Sus scrofa: one gene and its partner. The protein of the gene in region 1 purifies or fractionates together with the protein of each later gene. This does not show direct contact. Links are inferred from orthologs where the notes say so. Each region holds a gene or a part of one and is shown in the gene's direction. Other genes may lie near its edges.

Evidence for each region.
Region 2: the proteins of FOSL2 (region 1) and ATF7 purify together in Homo sapiens (affinity purification with mass spectrometry; 3 studies listed by BioGRID and IntAct, counting the BioPlex papers as one, with this or other methods). This does not show direct contact. The link is inferred for Sus scrofa from reciprocal best matches to the Homo sapiens genes FOSL2 and ATF7.

What each region holds. Positions count from the first base shown.
Region 1 is NC_010445.4:110,839,674-110,844,220, reverse strand, and holds the start of FOSL2 (fos-related antigen 2), read left to right. Parts: upstream 1-1,504; 5' UTR 1,505-2,529; intron 2,530-2,555; exon of another isoform or gene 2,556-3,438; intron 3,439-4,547.
Region 2 is NC_010447.5:18,835,752-18,840,307, reverse strand, and holds the start of ATF7 (cyclic AMP-dependent transcription factor ATF-7), read left to right. Parts: upstream 1-1,714; 5' UTR 1,715-1,864; intron 1,865-1,884; exon of another isoform or gene 1,885-2,196; intron 2,197-4,556. UniProt on the Homo sapiens protein: Stress-responsive chromatin regulator that plays a role in various biological processes including innate immunological memory, adipocyte differentiation or telomerase regulation.

The sequences.
Region 1 (4,547 bases):
CAGGACTGTGATTATTTTCTAAAACCCTGCGCAGGGGCCCGCGTGGCCGCTCTCGGGGGCCCCGCCCCGCGCCCCTTCCCAGGGCGGTGGAGAAGTAGGGAGGCCGTGGCGCGCTCTGGAGCCGGCGAGGGAATCCCTCTCCCTCCACGTCACCCGAAAGCGAGGGAACCCGCACGCGCGTCCTCTAACGCAAATGACCATCTTTGGCAACAGGCGCCGGTGGAACAGACCAAGGGCGCAGGGCCCAGGGGGGTGGGCGGGGGTGGGGAAGGGCCGGGCTGCCTCGGGTCCCCCAAACCGCGCTCACAGCGCTCCCACCCCCTCCACCTCCTTCCTTCCTCGCGCAGGGTGTGCGGCTGGCGTCAGCGCGGCCGGGAGCCCGGGCAGGGAGGGGAGTGCTGCGCCCGCCTCCTCCCGCGCCTCTTCCTCCTCTTCCCCCTCCTCCTCCTCGGCCCTCTCCCTCCGCCTCCCCTAGCGCTCCTCCCGCAAGGTGGAGTCTTGGGTTGACGTGAGGTACAGGGGCTGGAGAATAAAGAGTGGAGTTGAACTCGTGCCATTGTAGTGACTCATCTCGGGCAGAGCGCTGGGGCTCCGAGCGAACCAGCGAGCAAGCAAGCGGCGCTCGGCGGGGACAGAGAGAGGGAGAGAGAGAGGCGCGGACGGGCGAGGCGGGCCCGTCCGGGAGCGGGCGCCGGGGAAGGGGTGCAGGTCCGGGCGCCGGAGCCGCCGCAAGGGGAGCGGGCCCGCGTCCCTCTCCGCGTCAGCTCAGCTGGAACCCCACGGGCCGCGGGGCGGGCTGCCTTCACCTAATCAAGTGTCCCTGCCGCTCGAAACTCCGGCGGCGAGTCGGCCACAGGAAGTTTATTCTCAGCTCCTTTTCTAAAAGGAGGAAATAGAAGTTTCTCCAAGCGGGCAGCCTTTCTTTTCGCCTTTTTTTTTTTTTCTTCCTTTTTTGCCCTGTCTGAAATTGGGGGCCCCCAGACCTGGCAGGCTTGACTCGCCGGGCTCCTATTCTTTTTTTAATTTCCAATTTTTGATTGAGCCGGCGGTCCCGGCTGGGCTCTGATTGCGCGCGGGGGCAGGAGGGCGCGCGCAGGGGAGGGACCGAGGGACGCGCGGACTTTTTAGAGGGAGGGACCGGGTGGACAACTGGTCCCGCGGCGCTCGTAGAGCAGGAAAGAAGTGCAGCGCTCGGCGCTCGGGGGGCACTGTTCTCGGAGTGCCGCCGCCGAGGGGGAGAAGCCCGGGAGCGACGCTTAGAGCCCCAGGCGCGGCCGGCAGGGAGCCAGCGCGCAGCTGCCGGTGCGCGGCCGCGGCGAGGGCGGGGGAAGAAAAACACCCTGTTTCCTCTCGGGCCCCCACCGCGGATCATGTACCAGGATTATCCCGGGAACTTTGACACCTCGTCCCGGGGCAGCAGCGGCTCTCCTGCGCACGCCGAGTCCTACTCCAGCGGCGGCGGCGGCCAGCAGGTAGGTGCGGGCCCCGGGTGCACCTGGCGCCGCGGGTGGACCCCCCGCCTTCCTCTCGCCAGGACTGCCTTTTTTCCCCCCCTTTCTTTTCCCTTTCTTGATTTGGCGAGAAAATTCTTGCGGCCTCCATTGTAAGTTCTAGATTTTCATCTTGTCCTCCTGACACCTCCTTTAACCTTCCCCCATCCCCCGCCAACACTTTTTTTTTTTTTTTTTTTTTTTAAACTAGAGCGGCGAGTGGGCTGGAGAGCCAACAAACCCTCGCCTTCACACTACATCCTATACAGACAAGCTCCTGGAATTGCAGGGCCTTTTCCCCAGGACCCTGTACCTCTCTCGCAGGAACCCCGTGGTTAGACCCCCCTCCAAAAAAAATCTTTGCACCCACGGGCACCTCCCGACATCCAGGGACCTTATTCCTGCGAAAAAGCCCTCTCTCCTTCGGTCTTCGTTCATTTCTGAAAGAACTTGGGGACTGGGAAAAATGGGCTCCTTCAAGTAATCCGGAGCGAGGGCGAGGGTTGTCGCTCTGGGAATCAGGTGCGAAGGTCAGGAAGGAGGAGGTCAGCCTTGATTGGCTCAGGCTGCGCCTTTCTCCCCCGCGCCCATCCATCTCCTGTTAGGGTCACAGAAGGAGCCTGCACAGCCGACCAGAAGGGGCGCCTTGGGGGTCTGGGAATATCTGGGGCCAGGACGCCTGCAGAGAGGGGACGGTGGGGGGGCGGTGGGGGCGGTGGATGAGACCTCGCTTAGGCTCCTGGGTGGTTCTGGAAGCCGGAAAACAACTTGTTTCTAAAGCAGGCGGACTGGTTTGCACCAGAGGGATTTTGCCTGAGATCTGTGTGTCTATAAATACCGGAATAAATACCAGAAAGGTGCTGCTGGGTTGGTGGTGTTCGTGGGGTGCCTGCCCTCTGCAGCCACCACTCCCCCCCACCCCCCGACCCCCACTCTTGGGAGGGAGCTGGCTTAACCAACAAGGTTGCTGGAACCTGAAGCCCGCCTCGGTCAGGATCTGCAGAGTCTCTAGGCAAGTTGGCTGTCTCGAGTTGCGCTGGTAAGATGATGATGGCTTTGGCTTCTATAAGCCAGCCAACCAGGAGGGCCTGGGGTGGACTTCTGGGGAGGAGGGACCCTGAGGGAGAATAAAATGGAAAGGGGGCTCTCTTTGGTATCTGAAGAGGGGTCTCTTATTCCAAAGTGGTTCCCCATACCTGGTGAGTCCTTAAAATGGCTTTTCTGTGTCTTCTTTTTACCTGCCCCGGTGTCCCCTTTAGCACCCCACTGTAGAGAACCTGGTTGGTGCATTGAGGGTACGGTCAGAGCACCCCTAATACTGAGCACTAAGGTGATGCATTTCAAGTCTTGTCCCAAAGTGTTTGATTTTTGTTTGCTCTCCAGCCCCATTGGTGGTTTGTATTGAATCCAGATATCATTAAGCAGCGGGTGGGAGTCATTTATACCCATTCCCTCAGTCTCCATTTCCACAGCACCCCCCCCCCCCATCTCCGTTCTCCGATGGGAAGGGAATCTTCTGATGTCTCATCTGCTCTTTTGGCTGCTGTTTCTATGGCAGTCATCACTGAAATGTTACAACGTCGCCGCCTGGCTTTGCTCAGACCCTGGGGCCTGGATGGGAAGTCCGACCGGACATCAGTGCCCCGATTGAATAATCTGTGTCACTAGGGCTTTGAGCCCAGGATGCAAGCGGAGGCAATTCCCTGTTTTGGAAGAAAATCAGACAGGAAACCAGTGCTAGGAAGAAGGAAGAGAACTCAGTCCAGCAGAGTGTAATGGGGCCTCATTACCAAAGCAAAAAGCAGCTGTTGGCTAATTCCTAGCATGCTGCAACACATGAGGATTTTGCAATTAGTAATAACTGCTGCACGGGGTTCTTGCATATATGCTTGCCCATTCGGCCCAGCAGCTTGAGTGAGGCACCTTTCAAACCGGAGGGATTGGCAAGGTAACTCAGCTTTGGATGAGTTTCTTGGCCTGTCCACTCTTGGGGGGTGGGTGGGAAGAGGGGAGGGTTTTCCCATCATCTCTCTGACTTGGAGCAGAGCTGTTCTGTGGTCCTAAGGACTGACGTGAGAGGTTTTTGTTACTTCACAAGTCTGGGCTACGACCCCACCCAGGCTCAAGGTAACTTTATTACATACCAGATAAAACCTGTAATCACTTTATTTCTCTTAGCTTCCTTTACGGGGAGAGGGAGACTTTTCCTGGCAGTTAGGGATGGGCCCTCCTCCTCCAGTGGCGTCTCAGTGGACCAAACCATGTAAGAGGGGTCTCTGGTTTTACCTTGGGCGAGTGAATATTATTTTTTCCAGCTTGCTTTGTTGGTGGGGTCTAATATTCCTGAGCAGTTTGTTGCTGTCCACCCCACACAGGGCTTTCTTCTCCTCTCTCACTTGGTAAAGTTTGATCTTAACACATGGCCAGGAGTCCCAGGGACTTGGGGGGAAGGGGGTGCAGATAACTCTTTGTTAAAAACCTCTGTTCTTGTATATGGCAGGAACTTGAAGCATGAAAAATATTTCCTGTTCCACTTATAGTTTTAATCTCAAAGGTTGGTCATGGGTGATTCTGATTTGTCACTAATAGTTGCACATACCTTCCCCTCCTGGCTTTTTCTTTTTATTGCTGTTGTTGTTTTTTCTCTCTCCTAACTTTCTTAGGAAAACACCTCCCAGATATATGCCCTGCCTGGCTGCTCGACTCTTACGGTTTCAGGCCCTGAGCATTACGCAATCCAGCCAGTTACACAAACATAGGTCATTTCATAACTTGTTTTCATCAGCTGGGCTCCCTTTTTAATGAAAAAACAAAACAAAAACAAGACCCAAAACTTTTCCAAGGCTGCCATTTGTCTGTTCCTTGGATAACTTGTGAAAATAAATCAAAGGGGACAGTTCCTTTTTGGAATCAAGGAATACCAGACTAGCTCTCTAATTCCACAAGCATCCTTTTCCAAGAGACAGACGGACAGACAGACAGACAGACAGACACACACACACAAAATTCCCCGGAGTGAACTTTTGCCAACTGTACCAGGCTGGGACATTCCTCACA
Region 2 (4,556 bases), on another chromosome or scaffold:
CTAGCACAATTTGTAGAATTTCTTTCTCCCTGATTTGTAATGCCACTGCTGTTATATAGAAATCTCCCATACATACTGAGGGTCTGCTGCTATCATTGTATTTTTTTTTTTGTTTTTTTCTTTTTGGCTGCCCCATGGCTTACGGAGATCCCAGGCCAGGGGTCAGATCACAGCTGCAGTCATGACCTAAGCCACAGCTTAGTATCCCAAGCTCTACTAAAACACCGCCAATCCCTTTGCGCCACAGCGGGAACTCCTATCATTGTATTCTTTTAAGTAGAAATTGTTTTAGGAGAGAGTAGATTGGCAACCAGGACCCCTCTCAGCTTTTCTCAATTCACTTCGCAAGAACATAGGTGATTGTACGCTGCTCTTTCACTTTTGTTACCTAGGGAGAAATCACCTGGATTCTTTCTACCTTTCAGAGGCTGTGAAGACAGATGAGATCCTAGGCAGGAAGTTTAGAAAGCTGATATAAAACTGCAAAAGGAAGCTTCCTGAGAGAGATTCCAGAGGTAACATTTTGAGTCAACCATCCTTATAATTACAATAATGTTTTTAAAGTATTTCTCGGGGAGTTCCCATCGTGGCTTAGTGGTTAATGAATCTGACTAGGAACCATGAGGTTGTGGGTTCCATCCCTGACCTTGCTCATTGGGTTAAGGATCCGGTGTTGCTATGAGCTGTGGTGTAGGTTGCAGACGTGGCTCTGGCGTAGGCAGGCGGCTACAGCTCTGATTAGACCCCTAGCCTGGGAACCTTCATAAGCCGCACGTGCAGCCCTAGAAAAAGACAAAAAAAAAAAAGTTTTTCTTGGAGTTCCCATTGTGGCAAAGCAGAAATGAGTCCGACTAGTATCCTTGAGGATGCAGGTTCAATCTCCAGCCTCAACTGGTCTGGGATCCAGTGTAGCCATGAGTTGTGGTAGGTAGGTCGCAGACGCAGCTCGGATCCTGAGTTGCTATGGCTGTGGTGGTGGCTGGCAGCTGTAGCTCTGATTAGACCCCAAGCCTGGGAATCTCCACAGGCTGCAGGTGCAGCCTTAAAAAAATAAAACTAAAAAATCAAGGTTTTTTTTTTAGTTGTAAATACCACATAACAAAATTTACCACCTTAGTAACCATATGAGAAATTTTTAAATGGTCTTTGCATTTGATGTTTCACCCAAAATCTTCCGAAGGCTGTCTCCTTCTCATAGTTCAATTCTTCAAGGAAGTGATAATTCTGAAGGCCTGCATTTTGTAAAAAGTCTCCAATTCCTGTGGTTGAACTTTTGGTAGAAGTTCTCCACTGCCATAAACAGTCACACACAGAGCAGATTATGGCCACAGTTATGCTACTCTAAGTGCAAAGAAGAAAATGCAACTACTCAACTGTTTGGAATCTTGTATAGCTGTCTCAGTTTTTCCCCTTTTTTAACAGCTTTATTGAGGTATAATCTCCTCTCGTTTTTAAAGTGCGCTCCTTTAAGATGATCTCATTCTGTAGAATGAGAACCTTTGAATCTCCAGTACTACAGGCACCTGTAAGGATTCCCTTTCCTTCTTTTTCTTTTCTCCCTTACACTAGGCAGCCGAACACGTGTAACCACCGCCTAGAGAACTTGTTCAGCCTCCCTACCTAGCCCTGCCCACTCAAAGTCCAGCCCCTTCTTTTTTCGGAGGCCAGTCCCTCGGCCGCTTTCCAATTCAGGCCCAACAAATCTCGCCCTTCCTCCAACCCCCTCTCAACATCTCGCGAGAAGTGCGCGCGCCTGGCCGGACGAGAGGAAAGTATCTGCTCCGCTGAGGGGGGGGAAGAAGGAGCTGGAGGTAGATTGTGAGACGAAGCGCAGGCGGGCAGGAGGCGACGGAGCTACCAACGGGTAAGTCCTGTTAACATTAACTAGTCCATGAGCTGACGGGACTCTCCCCCTCAACTCTGGCCTGTCCCAGTGTCCCAGGCCGGGATCTCCCCTCCCAGTGTGTGTTGGACGGGGGCGCTGAGGCGGTGGCCGGGCCCTGTCTGAGGAAGAGGGTGGGGCGTGGGCTAAGGCCGACCAATAAAAGAGAAGGAGGCTACGATTGGCGGCGATGAGCACTAATAGGAGATCGTCTTTACCTTGCGGAGTGCCGCCCCCTTCTCTCTTTCCTCCCGCCTCCTTCCTTTGGGGGGGGAAGGCGGGGCCAGAGGCCTGAAGTGTGGGGAGAACTTGGGGTAAGTAGCCCCGGGGGGCGCAGGGCGTGGCAATGAGAGGGGAGTTGAATCCTGAGGGAATGGAAGTCTAGTGGAGGCTGGAATGGGGTGGAATGGGAGGAAGGGGTGGGGTACTAAATTGGTTGAAGACCCAGGGTTTCTTCCAAGAGTGGGGTTAGAGGCTTGGCATTGGAAGCGGCAAGGGTAATAGGCAGGAGGTAGGGATGAGTAGGTGAAAACATGGTACTTGGTTTGGCTGGAAAGATAGAGGTAAATCATTGGAAGTGAGAGCACGGCATTTCGACTGAATTATAAAAAAGAGTATTAGGGACATGATAGCAGGAAAAAAGTGGATATGGAGAAAATTAAGTGAGTGAGTTTGGGAAGACTTAATAGTGGTGTGTTAATGGCCAAAAGGCATCACTTTAGAGAGGGTATGGGGGAATCCAGAGAAGTAAGGGAGGTGTTTGGTTAGGAGACGGCTGATATATACAAGCGTTTAGCCTAGGTATCAGAAGAAGCCTGGGAAATAGATGTAGGACTTTTGGTGGATATTGCACCCAGTCTCGTGACCAGCCTGCAAGAGAGGTGGGATAGGGGTAGAGAAGGAGAAAAATAGAGCACTTTCATCACTTCTACTCTGATTTCCTTTCTCCCCCTCTTCCTCTTCCCGCACTTCATCTCTTCAACTCAGGGATGGGGGCTTGAGACTTAAGCAGCCAAGTTGGAGCCCCATAGGGAGTTATATGTTGCTCTCAATTGCTTGTTATGTTCTCCGACTGGGGTGTTTACTACCCAGGGCACCTCCTACCCAGATTCCCGCGTTGCTGCTTTACTAACTTTAAAAGTTTGTTTTCTCCTTAACAGAGGGTGTTTTAATATCTCTGAGGGTTGTGTCATAGTAAGTGTAGGTTTGTGGGGGTATGCAGAGCTTTCTCTGAAAGCTCGCTTGAGCCCTGTGTTTAAAAACTTTGCAGTAATGCAAGTTATTCTTGTAGAGACATCGGTCTTTATAGGTATTCTAAGCACAACAAAATATCCTAAATTGAAATTTGTTTTGTCAAATATGTTTCTTACCCACTGATATTCTGGAAGAGTTGCTAAATGGTCGCAGTTTTATTTAGCTTATATATTTTTTAATGGTGTAAATAAAATGCACACATATTTCAGGAAAGTGAAAAAATTTCAGCTTCTTCCTTTGTGTCCAGACTCAGAAGCTAAAGATATGTCATAATATCTTAGGGCAAGGGTTGGGGAAATCAAACACAATTTGTACTTAAACATGGAGGATATAAGGTAAGTGGAGATGATTGCGAAATTTAACATGTCCGTAAGAAAAGAAGCTAAAGGAAAGTTTGGCAGCTATACTAAGTAGTCTTACCAGTTCTTAATTCTATACAGAAAAGGGGCAAGTCTTTGCCCTTTGTTTGATAGTTACATATTATTTAATAATGAACTAATACAGCCAATTAATTAATAATGCCTTTGCTGTTACATAGATTTGTCTTTTACATTTCTTTTCTTCTCCTTTTACTTTTGGAAGCAAAATAACATCTGAAATACCCAAAAAGCTGTTATATGAAGAGAAATCTCAGAGTATGTTGCTTTGTATCATTCACCTTGGGTTTTCAGCAACTATTTGTTCTCCTGGCTAGGAAGTTACCTCTGCAGCACTTTGAAACCAATTAGTTACTGACTTTTTAAGATTAATTACTTAATTGGCTTCCAGAATTTCACATTCAGAGCATTGCTGTTGGACATACAGACATTTTCACAGTTTGCCTGGCAGCAGCTTGCGCATGCACACACCTCCCACCCCCCCAATTCAAGGAGAGAGCCAAGTTCCTTGTTTTATTCTTCCATCCTACAGTTTGTGATGGCTTTGACTTGGGTACTATTAAATGCAACATTATTTTTTTTCTTATTAACATCTACCAAAAAAGTAGAGAATTATAGCAGTTCTCATCTTGAAATTTGTGGATTAAAGATTACATCCTGTGATGTTGTAGTGTTGTAACTTTTGTTTTTGTTTACCATGGCTTTTAAATGCTAATATTTACCGTTACTGTATGTCTTCTTTCTCTTTCCTCTCCCCATTTCCAAACCAAAATGAAAATTGTTTTTTCAACCAGCTCACAAGCTGCTGCTTTAAGTCCCTAGCTCTGCCTGAACACAGCTGCTCTAAAGTTCTCTCAAGTTATTGTTTTGTACATGTCAAGACTGAGCTTTTCCTCGGCTGCAGTAGGAGGGAGTCAGTGTTAGAGCAGCCTCCTATCCACGTCTGATGAGGAGGAGCCTTTTTGAAAGGAAGTTTTAGGTGGAGCAAATAGCTTTGCCATGTAAATGTCTAATAAAGACCGCTCTCTCCTTGAAACTAATTG